2 linked regions of the Drosophila melanogaster genome follow. The protein of the gene in region 2 binds, or shares a complex with, the protein of the main gene of each other region. Each region holds a gene or a part of one and is shown on either strand. Other genes may lie near its edges. A codon is read from its position in the direction of its gene.

Region 1 (5,787 bases), on a different chromosome or scaffold from region 2:
CAGATTATTAGTAATCAAAAAAAAATTCTAAGCGTTTTTAAAGCCGTCTAAACCAAAAATCAATCCGTTCTAGTAATAAATATTAATTTTCAGGAAGTAGGACAAGGATTTCAAAGGCCTAGGTTAATGCAAGGTCAGGTTGAAGGTCAGGTCGCAGAGAATGTGGGCCAAGGAAAGGCCTAATGGTATTTGAAGCAGGCCAAGGTCAACTCTTTGTGGGGAGAGAAAGCTTTCAAAGCTTTTTCTGTACCACTTCAATGTCCACCCAATTTATTATGTTATATTTCAGTTTTTTTATAATTCTACTATTTAATTATTGTTTAGGGTTTTTAACTAAATCGTCGAAAGTCCACAATATATACCTCCGTAGAGCTTAGGAGTGCCTAAACTATTTTTATCAGTATCAATGCAATTTCACCAATAAACCGATGTTTAAAAATTAAATTTCAAAATAGACGTCGAGAATCTTTAATTTAAAAATTGAAAAATAAAGTTTTTTTAAAAATGCAATTGTTTTACAAGATTACAAAAATTAATAAAAAAAAAAAAAGTTAATGCATTAAAAGCATCTTTAACCAAATTATTTTTTCCGAGTAGATAAAATCCATTTAAAAATTAACACGCTAAATTGTTTATTCCCCCATTTACAGTAATTTTCCAGTTCGCGAAACAGACAACTGGAAAGATTCCCCCATTTTTTTAAGCCCTGTGTTACCCTTTTTAACGATACTTTAATTAACTTCACTCGACTTCAAGTTCTTCACTTTTCGTGCTTGAATCTCACCAACCCTCGGGTAATCCACGGAAAAAAATTGAGCAAATGACATTAACTTTATATTTAATATTTTAAAAGAAAAATATCTTAGTGGAAAATACGAGAAAATGTATAAAAAAAAACTATAAAAAGCTATAAACTGCTGATACAATTTTCAGTTTATTATCCAAATTTTTAAAACCACATTAATTTTTGTAAAAAATATATATATAATGATCCCAGTAAAATTTATTTAAACAAACAAAAAGGTGATTTTATTTAAAAAGTTTTCTTATAATGATGGTTTTTAAATCAAATTCGTGTCAAAACTGTATTTCATTCCGTGCTCCTACTTCCCATTAAAGATGGTAAGTGCAGTAAAATAAAGCTCACCCAACTAGACAAAATGGAAAAGGAGGTTTTTGGGGGGTAAAAGGTGAGCGAGAGGAAGTCGTGCAGCGGGGAGAATTGAGAATTTACCTTTCATGCAGCTGACGTCGTTGTTTTTCCTTTTGTAGTTCTGTGTGTTGCGCATGCGCCCGGTTCCATGAATTCCAAGACGAAGATCGCGGAAGAAGAAGAAGCGCTGGAAGCTGTCCGTCTCTCTCTTTCTCCGTCTCTTCCCCTCTCGCTTTTTATGTATACAAAAACCAGTTGGAAGCGAAAGCAAAAGTTCTATTATTATGTCTTGGTCTTCTTGCTGTTTCTGTTTTTGTAGCCGTAGCTGGTCTCCCTCTCTCTCGCTGTCTCTGTCTCGCTCTCAGTGTGGGAATTCGCATGTGTGGAGAACGGAACGCGAATTTATAATTCGCAAAACAAAGCTTGTGTGTGATTCATTTCGCCGATCGTAGTCGCTGTTGCCGTTGTTGTTGTTGTTGCTATTTCTCCCGATCGCATCTCTCGGCGTCTCGTTCTCTTTTGCTCTCGCTCTCCGAAAGCTCTTTCAGCATATTTCAGAACACGCACACACACGCGACGCCAAACGCATTTGGCAATTTATTTATATTTTTTTTTATTTATTTCTTTTATTTATTTTGCATTTATTGCCATTTACTCTTCCTCTATTCTCGGCGATTTCCTCTTCCCGATTTCGAACGCACACCAAGAACTTCTTGCACAATCGTCGCACGCGCGCAACAAGCGAAAGCTCTCAGAAACAACAACTATAAATTGCAATTCCTGCTACGCACACACTGACACGCTCGCACCGCACATACATATATACACACATGTACTGGGGTTCCACTGGGCACTCTGTGTTGTTGTTTTTCCGCTTGGCTTTTGCTAATTTTGCCTTGTTTTTGCTTCTGCTCCAATTCTATGACACAACGCTATCTTCCCACTTTGTGTTAATTTTTATACACAATTGCACACCAAAATTGGGGTTTGGTAAACGGATAGGCAATGACGGGGGCGCGGGCGACGATTGGAAACCAGAACACACTCCCGTTATGGACGCATCGGAAATATTAAATATATACGTATGTACACACACATAATTAACGCCAGAGCTGTTCTTCTTTTCGCTTTTGTTTACTTTCACTCTTACTTTCTTGGCTATCGCTCACTTTCAGCTATTGTTTATTCGCTGGCTTCACTTTTTCGGGAAAAACTATTCCGCACGCAAAAATTAGGTCTCGAGCGAAATTAGGTCGAACTCGAACGGGAACACAACACACAGTAAAAGTTTGTTGGCGTAGGTAGAAGAAGACCGAAAGCCCTCGCGCATACACGCACACACACATGCGCGGTCGGGATAGTGTTGGATCACCGGAGCGAAGAGCGGGGCCAAGGACAGAGAGGCAGCATTCTTGGCCTTTAAAAATCGTTTGAAGAACAAGGACGGCAATCATATGAAAACCGGAAAGCTTTCAGCTGAAAGCACTCACATGCACGCACACCCGCGTTTAGCGCACCGCTCGTGCGGCGAGCTTTTGAGAGCGACATCTGCCGGAACCTATCGCCAAGTTATCGATAGATCGTAAATTCAAAACTGTGGCGGTTTGTCAATGAAATATTACATAAATTTTAATAAGCAATAAAAAATACAATGAGATTATCTAGTTCAAATAATTGCAAATTTAAAAGGAAAAGAAGAAGACGAATTTAAATATTCACAAGATATAATTATACTTTTTCAAAAGAATGGGCCCTCTAAGTATATTTAAGTACTTATCTAAGACCTTACCTGTTCAGTCATCTATTATTATATATAAATAACCTTTTAAACCAATTTTGAAGAATCGTTTAATAAAAGCTTGGATCGATATTTGTTTTCAAATGCCAGGAGATTGTTAAAATTTTGAAGTGAAACCGCACTTTTAAATTGTCAAAATTTCACTTTGCATTTATTTTGTTTTTCATTATTAGTTTTTTTTTTTTTGTTAAATTTCTTCAGTTTTTTGTGGTTTCCTTTTATAGTTGCACAAAACTTACACACGTACATTACATAGAAAATTACAAACCTATCTGAAAATTGATTTACATTGTAGTTGGATCATATTGTGTATACATATACTTTATATATTATGTTAATAATTTCATTTAAAAATACATAATACATAAATACGCCTTTGTTGCTTCTTTAATATTATTACAATAATTATTATTTAGTTTATACTTTAGCTAGATTGTTTTGTTTTTTTAAAAACCATAGATTACACTTCATCCCTAGATTTATCTGTAAGTATATATCAATTTATTAGCTGATTGGCTGGCATACATTTTCCGTTCGTTTCCTCGTTTCTAACTGCCTTGCATTGTTTTCTTCTACTTTTATTGCATAATTGCAGCCAATCCCTAAAGATTCCAGATTTTCTCAATATTCTCGCTCTAAAATTTCCATTCATTTCCTTTTTCTTCGTTTTGAGTGTGTATAGCACCTTTGTATCACTTTGCATTAGCTCTAAATTTAATTTCCTTTATAAAATCCTTTATCTTCCAAAGACAAAGACGTGTGAGTAAAAACTAGTTACTAGCTAAAATATACATATGTATAGTATATAAATCTACTATTATATTCGTACTAATAGTTTTTCCATATTTGTTTGCACTTTACACTCTATGTTCAGTTAGTACTATGCTCATCCATTCATCATTATCTAATTTATATCTTTCTGGATCTTGCCCCGTCCAATCGCTAAAGATATCTCGGTTAAAATTTCATTAAAATGGTCTTAACGCCCAACAAGTTCCGTACACTGTCGTTGTATTTGATGAGCACAACCTTCGACGAACTGAACATGTTCAGCTTTTCACCGGCGCACAACAGCTGCAGGCAGGTGGCTTTCTCCAGGAAATCATCTATCTTGAACTCCCGTAGCAGGTGCTTCTGACTGCTGGCCAAGGCATTGCTGTTGTTCGGACAGAGCTAAAAAAAAAATAACAAGATTTTGTTATAAGTTCATTTAAATATCGCATCTAAATGGCACATACCTTGTTAAGCAACGTATCCTTCGATTTAACTTTAAGTAAATTGCACAAATCATTGAGTAGTACCCATTTATCACTGCCCTCGTCTTTGAGCAAGTACAGTGGTGGCAAGGGCACATCGGCCTCTTCAAATTCAAAAATATCACCATTCAATTCACTATCCATTGTCTCGATGTCCGTCTGATCCTCGTCTAGCCTAGTGCTACTATTCGTATTTGCTTTCGCATTCGTTTCCGTTTCCGCTTCTGTTTCAGCTTCAGCTTCCACTTCCTTCTTCACTTCATTCTTGACATTCACAACGCTTGTTACTAAATTATTTTCCACATTAGCATTCAGCTCCTCGTTGTTCTTATTGTTATTGCTATCCTCGTCGGTTCCCAGTTCCAATTTAACCATCGTTGTTGCCGTCGTCGTAGTCGCCGATCCAGTCTTTGTTGCACTCGTCTCCCCGTTCTGCTTGATCGTTGTTGTCACCCGATCCTGGTCCAAATCCTCGGGCTTCTGCTCCTCCTTTTTTTCCGCTAACAGACCATTCAAGTTGCTGGTCCTGTCACTGTTGCTGCTCATCCTCTGCTGCTTGGCCTCCTTCCTTTCTTTACGTAGAGCTCTGCTCATATCACAAGCTGTATTCGGTACATTACTGAATATATCATAACCATACTCCTTAGCATCTGGAAGAGATTAATGCATGGTTTAGTTCAAATTCATTCATATTTTAGTTTTATCCTTAATTGTATGCAATGGCAAAGAACTATTTGCTTCCACTCACCAAATATCTCCCAAGGCCCATTGAATCGCATTGGCTTGATGTCAGCGGCGGCACTTTGTGCATCGCTGAGATGAGCGCGCAGAATGCCTCGCATCAACTTGCTTGAAGCTAACATTAGCGGGGTTTGACCTAAAAACAAAAGGGTACAATTGTTACAATCCCTTCGAAATGCAAAGTTAAACATCCAACACCAACCTGAGTACGTTGCCAGCAACGGATCGGCTCCATAGGAGAGCAACAGTCGCACCACCTCCTCGTGATCGTTTTCGATGGCTCCGTGCAATGGCCTAATTCCAGATTGAGCCGCCTCCGAATGATTCGCGCCGTATTGAAGTAGAATCCTGGCAATCTCCAGCCATCCCTGGGTGCACGCCTCGTGGAGTGGAGTGTAGCCGGCGTTATCCTTTTGGTCAGGATTCATATTCATACGATCCAAGCAGTAGACCACCACATCGATTAGGCCCTGGCGAGCAGCCTTGTGCATGGTACTCTGACCAACTCCTTTGTTGAGCACCCACTTTTGGATCTCACGACAGACATCCATTTCCGTTTTCACCTTTGGAGGCAAATGGGAACTGCCAGCGATGGTGCTATCCGTATCCTCCAAGCGCTCATCCGCCGCACTCTGATTGTGTTCCAAAATGTGTTGTGTTATCTGACTGGAGACTTGGCTCTGACTCTGATTTTGCGTGTGGTTCTGCGTCTGAGTCGGAGCTGGTCTCTTCTTCTTTCGTATATAGTCAAATCCCGAGCTGCCTTTCCTACAACGATACTTCCTCTTGTGCGGACACTGCGGAGCCGTGACCGACTTGTCCTCCATGAGAGATCTCCT
Region 2 (5,787 bases):
TTGTCGAGTTTTTCGACTATCACCTAGTAGGATTACGAACAAGAAATTTCAACGTATTAATTGTGTGTGTGCATCTCTGGAATCCTAGCTTATACGGAAAAACTTTTAGCTGTTACATACTTTTCAACGGATCAAGTATACCCTTTTCTAATACGCGTAACGGGTTTAATAAAAGTTGACTATTTAGAAAATATAAATACTTCGTTGACTTATATTTCTGACGCATACTGTATTTGCCAAGTAGTTTGTATTGTAGATATGTATGTCACTGTAGGGCTTTTTTACCCAACCACCATCGTTTATATATTTATGGCCTAATTATATAATTGCAAAAATGCCACAAATTCGAATTTGCAAAGGGATTCTTCCGTTTTCGGTCTTTTGATTTATATCTGTTAACTAATTTGTCTGTCATAACTACATTCTAGAAGGGTAGGATAGAATCTGATCTATTGAAGGTCTGTTCATTGTTAAATATTTATTTTATAAAATATTTGAACAAAATGTACATGGTTTCCAAATCAATTAAGTAGCACATTGAAGCCATCTAAATCATTAAATCAGACAAAAAATTTCTTTCGCAGCGGCATAGATACATATCACCACTAAGCTTAACCAATGCCACCAATTCGCACCTAACACTAAAGTGCCCACAGATGCCACTTCGAACTCACCCACCGACCACTTTTGTCTAATGAGTCGGATAAATGGTGCCGGGATATATTCGACTGCACATGGATCCCCTTTGCCTTTGATATTGATTCTGATTCCGAATCCGATTCCGCACCGGGCTTTTCCTTTTGCGTTGCGTTACCCATAACTGTCACGGATGTGCAATGAAAAATTACCAATCAATGTCTCACTTCAATAGAGGAACGTGCAGCGGCGGAGGGAGGAAGGGAGCAGGGATGCGGTGGTAGATATGCCCCGAAGCCAGACCAAAATGTGACATTTTCTCTGGCGAAAAGAGTGCATTTAATAGAAAATCCGGGAGATAGCAATGGGTCAGGGATGAGGGGGACTGAAGCGACAAAATGCAGCTGCTCGAATTTGTACGATTCGTGCTCAACATTAAATCGTTTGCGTTTCGTATAAGTTCGAAAGTAATGCTTCAACCATGTGCAATTCATCAGAAAGTAAACCAAGAGATCTCTTAAGCTTCTCAACGAACAATTAAATATTAGGCTTATACTTAAATAATTTAAACTCCTTAACTCCTAAACTCCATTTTTATCATATATATGTATTATATGCATATATAAGGTATGAAAATAGGCTGAAGGTAAACTTTGCCTTGTGATATGTTTTCGGTGAAAGTAGTTAGACAAATACCATACGTTGATCCAAACTATTTTAAGAATTTATTGAGTAGTTATCATTGAAAGGCATTTAATTTTATTTCAACACATATACATATGAAATGTATTCCACATACGCGGCCCACGGCCTATAAATTTAAAATTTTAAAGCAGTCAAATTGCAGCATGCCCAAGACTCTTCTTCACAAATTGCCAAATGAATGTTCAACTTGATTTGTTTAAATTCGATCGATTTACTTTACTCGTATATTTAAATAAATAGAATTCTATGATAGGAATATCTTAACTACTATATGTACAAAAACATGTGTGTCAGTCTCCAAGTCTCTTGGCCATTATCACTCCCAGCTGAGTGTTTTGGGCTTGTGTTTGGCCGCAGCTAATCGATCGCTGAGAACCCATCATGGCCAGCCACTGGGTTCCGCGCGCAGCAAGGCTCCTTTTCTGTTTGCGCTGCCTCTTTTGCCTCTGCCTTCTGCACTTGCGCACTCGTCCTTGTGCCCAAAATGTCCTGGGCACCGTAGGGAGTGCGCCCTCTACTGTGCAACTCATCGCGTCGCAGCTTCGTTCTCGGCTGTGTCATTTGCGTGTCACCTACAAATGGTCGAGAGAAGTGCGCTTCGGTTTCGTGGCGGTACGGCTTTCGGTTCCGCTCTGGGGAAGAGAGTAACTGAGCATCGCCGGACCTCAAGACAGATGGTAGAGGTCCTGTGGATGTTGCTGGTAGCTGCACTGATGTTGGTACTGCTGCGGGTAGGCATCGTACTGCTGGTGGGTCTGCTGCTGAGGGTAATCATTGAGCAGGCCATAACCATGACTGTGACTGTGGCTGTAAGCGGGGTAGGCGGCGGTGGTTTGGTGGTGGTGGTACATGGGCACTGGCACCGATGGTGCCCCGGTGGTGGCGGTGCTTGTGGCCTCCAGTGGCGGCAGCATCGCGGTGTAGCCGGCACCACAGTGCTCCGGGGAGCTGTCCAGCGTGCGATCCTTCTTCGACTTCATGCGTCGGTTTTGGAACCAGATCTTGATCTGCCTTTCGCTCAGGCTCAGGGCATTGGCGATATCGATGCGACGACGCCGGGTGATGTATCTATTGAAGTGGAACTCCTTCTCGAGCTCCAGGGTCTGGTAGCGGGTGTACGTCTGACGGGTGCGTTTCGAGTCTTTGCAATCTGTAAGCATAAGCAAAGAAAAAATGGGTTAGCTAATGAGTTTTATAACTGCGTATTGTTTGAAAATATCAAAAATGTATACAAAAACATATTTTCAATATTTTCAAAGTGTATTTTTAGGGGTTGTTAATCGTGTGTGATGCCTACCTGATGCCAAAGTCTCCTCGATGTGCGACCAATTGAAATCGCCGGCTCCATTCGGGGCTGTCACAATTCGATGATTGATCTCCTGGCTGACAGCTGACGAGGATTTCTCCCCCGGCGATTGGGGTGGCGTGCTGATGCCTTCGAGGGGCGGCAGAGAGGTGGGCGTGGTTGGCGGAGGGGTGGCAAAGTCGCCATTCTTCAGCTTCTGCGTCTGCGACTGGGGCGAGTAGACGTCCAAGTAGTCGACATCCTCGGAGGCGCTGGGCGTGGGCACAGTCACGTACTCTTGGTCGTAGCTGGGAGCGGGGCTGGCGGTGACCTTGGTGCTTACGGCGGGAGCCTTCTTCACCTGCTCGACGGTTGTGTAGAAATAGTCGGGGGTGTACTTCAGCTTCTTCACGGGATTGGTGAGCAGAGCCCTCAGTGTGCTGGGTCGCTCCTCCACGGCGGCGATGATGGAAGCAGCATCATCTTCGGCCTTGCGCTTGGTGGCCTTGGGCGGCGGGGTGGTGGGTTGCACGGGCGGTACAGTCTGGGTGGTCACCTGCTCCTGATTGTTGTAGTAGTAGCAGCTCTCCGAGTAACTCTCCTGGGGATAGTAGCCCTGATAATTGGAGGTGTTCTGATAGTAGGCATTGCTGCCTGAATTATCGTAGTAGGTGGGCGGCAGGCTGTGGGGGTGATACATGTTGTACATGTTCATGTTGTCGGCGTAGCTGTAGTGGCTCTGGCTGTTTGTGGTGGCCATATCGGATGTGTATTGCTAGATTTCTTCTCTAACTCTGCGATGTGCACGCAACGCTGGTGAGTTTGCGAATGAGCTGGTCCTGCGGCAGATCCTGCATATATAGCAAAATCAGAGAGCCCTCGGCACACGCTCGCCGTTATAGCGCATAAATATCCCTGCGCATGACACTTTGCCGCCTGCTGTTCGCAGCCACCCCTCCGGCGAAATGTCCTTGCAGGCACGGAGAGGGGAAGTTATCCGAGGTCCTGGCAACTTTATCCGTACGGTGCCTACCTGCTGCGCGGCTTATTACCTACCCATCGCGCCCATTATCATCGCGATTTATCCGCCCGCGCGCTTCTCCTACTCGGCGACCTTGAGACGGTGCTGCAGTAATTACGGCCATGAGGTGCCTACCTATGAGGTGCGCAGAGCGAGAGGGCGCGACTCTCAGCCGATCTCCCTCTAATTGCAATAATCATAAAGACATAAAAACTGTAAACTGTTGCTGAAAACGTTCCTTCGGGGCAGAGGCTTTTTCCCCGGCCCGTTTATGGTTCCCTAAAAATTTCTCTGGATTTTTGCCAGCGCGCAAAACACCGAAGACTGGCTGCCAGTTGTTCCCGGAACCCGATGCCCTTTCCCTCCGAATTTATTTCGTGGCACTGGGCGGCCAAAGGATAACATTACGTCCGATCCCTGGGATCAGGAATACGCGTGGCCGAGGGTCGCGTGTTTGCGCTTTTTGTTTGCCCTCGTGGCCAAGCAAGTGCGCAACTCCCGATTCCCAAACTCACTCCTGTGCCCGGTATTTGCCTAAAAACCAACAAACGCACTTCCAAAATGACTAGTAAACAGTAAAAACTTTATGCAAACATCCTTTGCCTAAATTTTAAAAATATGATATAAATTATATGCCCGCTGATTTTTCAAATGAATACTAGTTTTATTTTATTTTTTACGTTATACTTTTAAAAATGATTCTATAACAGCAGAAAACCAGCAATATTTTAATAGCATAATATTGTTGAGAATATAAAGCTTTTACGCTTTTTTTCGGTAACTCTGTGATATAACCCTCAAGTTTTTATAAATTTTAAGTAGGTTGTCTATGGATGCTGTAATTTTTAATGGCCAAATGGTAATGTATCCTTTGTGAGTGGTAATCTTGAGTTAAATTTGTGGCACAAAACTTGCACAGCGTAGGATCTTCATGTTTAATTATAACATTATAGCTCTTATACTTATACTTATATGGATCAAGAATATATATACTTTGTAGCACTGCAATTGCTGCCTTCTACCTGTTACATTCATTTCAGTAAGGGGTAAGAATGCCACAGGCTTCACGATTTACTATTTCTCATTCTTTTAGAAACTGAAGGTTATTTCTGGTAATCTAAAAATCTACTTCCATCTTAGGTTCGCGTATAACCTGAAATCAGCTCAGCTAAATTGACTGGTAAAAAACAATCATCTCTCAGCCACTTTTGTGTTTACATGACTTTCTGATCGGCTTACGCGGCCTGGATAAATTTTATTAGCCACCCCCGTTGAACACCCCTAACATATCGATACTCCTGACATATGTGTGCATGTGCGAATTCTACCCTTACCCCATCCGCATACTCTGGCAGATTCCATTGTTCCACAAAATTTATGGCGTTTTTCAGTTTGACAGAAGAGACTGCAGTTCGCATCTCTCCGATGTCCTGTGATTGCTATATTGCCAGTGAATGTGAGCCTCCTTTCTGGTTTTGCAGTAAACTTAACAATAAGGGTGTAGAGTAGGATATAAAACCATCCGATAACTTATGTTTATATCTATCAATCAAAGAAAGGAAAAACAGCTCCCCAAAAATAAAATTCTTTCGATACCGAATCATTTACTAAAATAATTTCATCTCATTTTATTTAAATATTGTTAGGATCCTTTTTTAACGCAATAAATAAGGGCGAGGGCTACTACTTTTGACTAGGTCTTTGAATTTAGATATATACTTATTGAATTATACCTTAAAAAGATTAATTAGTTGAATTATTTTACATGAACATGGCCTAAGATTTTAAACTAACTTGTCTAGCTGTTTATGAATGGTTTGTTTTTGTAAATATTTAATGATGGGTTTACGTGGCATAAGGGCACTTAACTTTTTCACTTTCGAACGATTGGATTTCACAAATTCCTCTGTTAAGCTTAATCCAAACCTAGCACATGGTCATATAATACTTTGCCCACCCGGTTCTCCACGGAAATGCAGCGAGCTCAGATCCAGAACCCAGGCAACTTTAATTGAGTTGTAAGGCCCACATGCGAGTGTCCGACCACAACACACCCCATCGCAAGTCCGCACCCAAACCCAACATAGAATGCGAATCCGGAGCTCGTCCCAAGAACTCGTGCGATTTTATTGTCGAATTA

The links. The genes of interacting proteins can lie anywhere in the genome.
Region 1: the proteins of ftz (region 2) and ftz-f1 are in contact, whole or in part, in a crystal structure (PDB 2XHS), measured with the Drosophila melanogaster proteins. Residues at the interface, in NP_477498.1 of Drosophila melanogaster: Ser107 (codon at 3,068), Thr108 (codon at 3,065), Leu109 (codon at 3,062), Arg110 (codon at 3,059), Leu112 (codon at 3,053), Leu113 (codon at 3,050), Thr114 (codon at 3,047), Asn115 (codon at 3,044); in NP_524143.2 of Drosophila melanogaster: Phe842, Val845, Arg849, Val859, Asp860, Gln862, Met863, Leu866, Leu1016, Glu1019, Met1020.

Annotation. Positions count from the first base shown.
Region 1 is NT_037436.4:18,798,874-18,804,660, forward strand, and holds the start of ftz-f1 (ftz transcription factor 1), read right to left. Parts: upstream 2,437-5,787; 5' UTR 1,235-2,436; intron 1-1,234. Other genes in the region: CG14073 (uncharacterized protein), read right to left, coding at 3,909-4,124, 4,190-4,857, 4,956-5,084, 5,151-5,787. UniProt on the Drosophila melanogaster protein: Acts as a cofactor to fushi tarazu (ftz). Facilitates the binding of ftz to DNA. Binds the sequence element 5'-YCYYGGYCR-3' in the zebra element of ftz. Probably functions as a nuclear receptor for a yet unknown ligand.
Region 2 is NT_033777.3:6,861,993-6,867,779, reverse strand, and holds ftz (fushi tarazu), read right to left. Parts: upstream 3,457-5,787; 5' UTR 3,387-3,456; coding exon 2,639-3,386; intron 2,492-2,638; coding exon 2,007-2,491; 3' UTR 1,536-2,006; downstream 1-1,535. UniProt on the Drosophila melanogaster protein: May play a role in determining neuronal identity, may be directly involved in specifying identity of individual neurons. Required during embryogenesis for the process of body segmentation.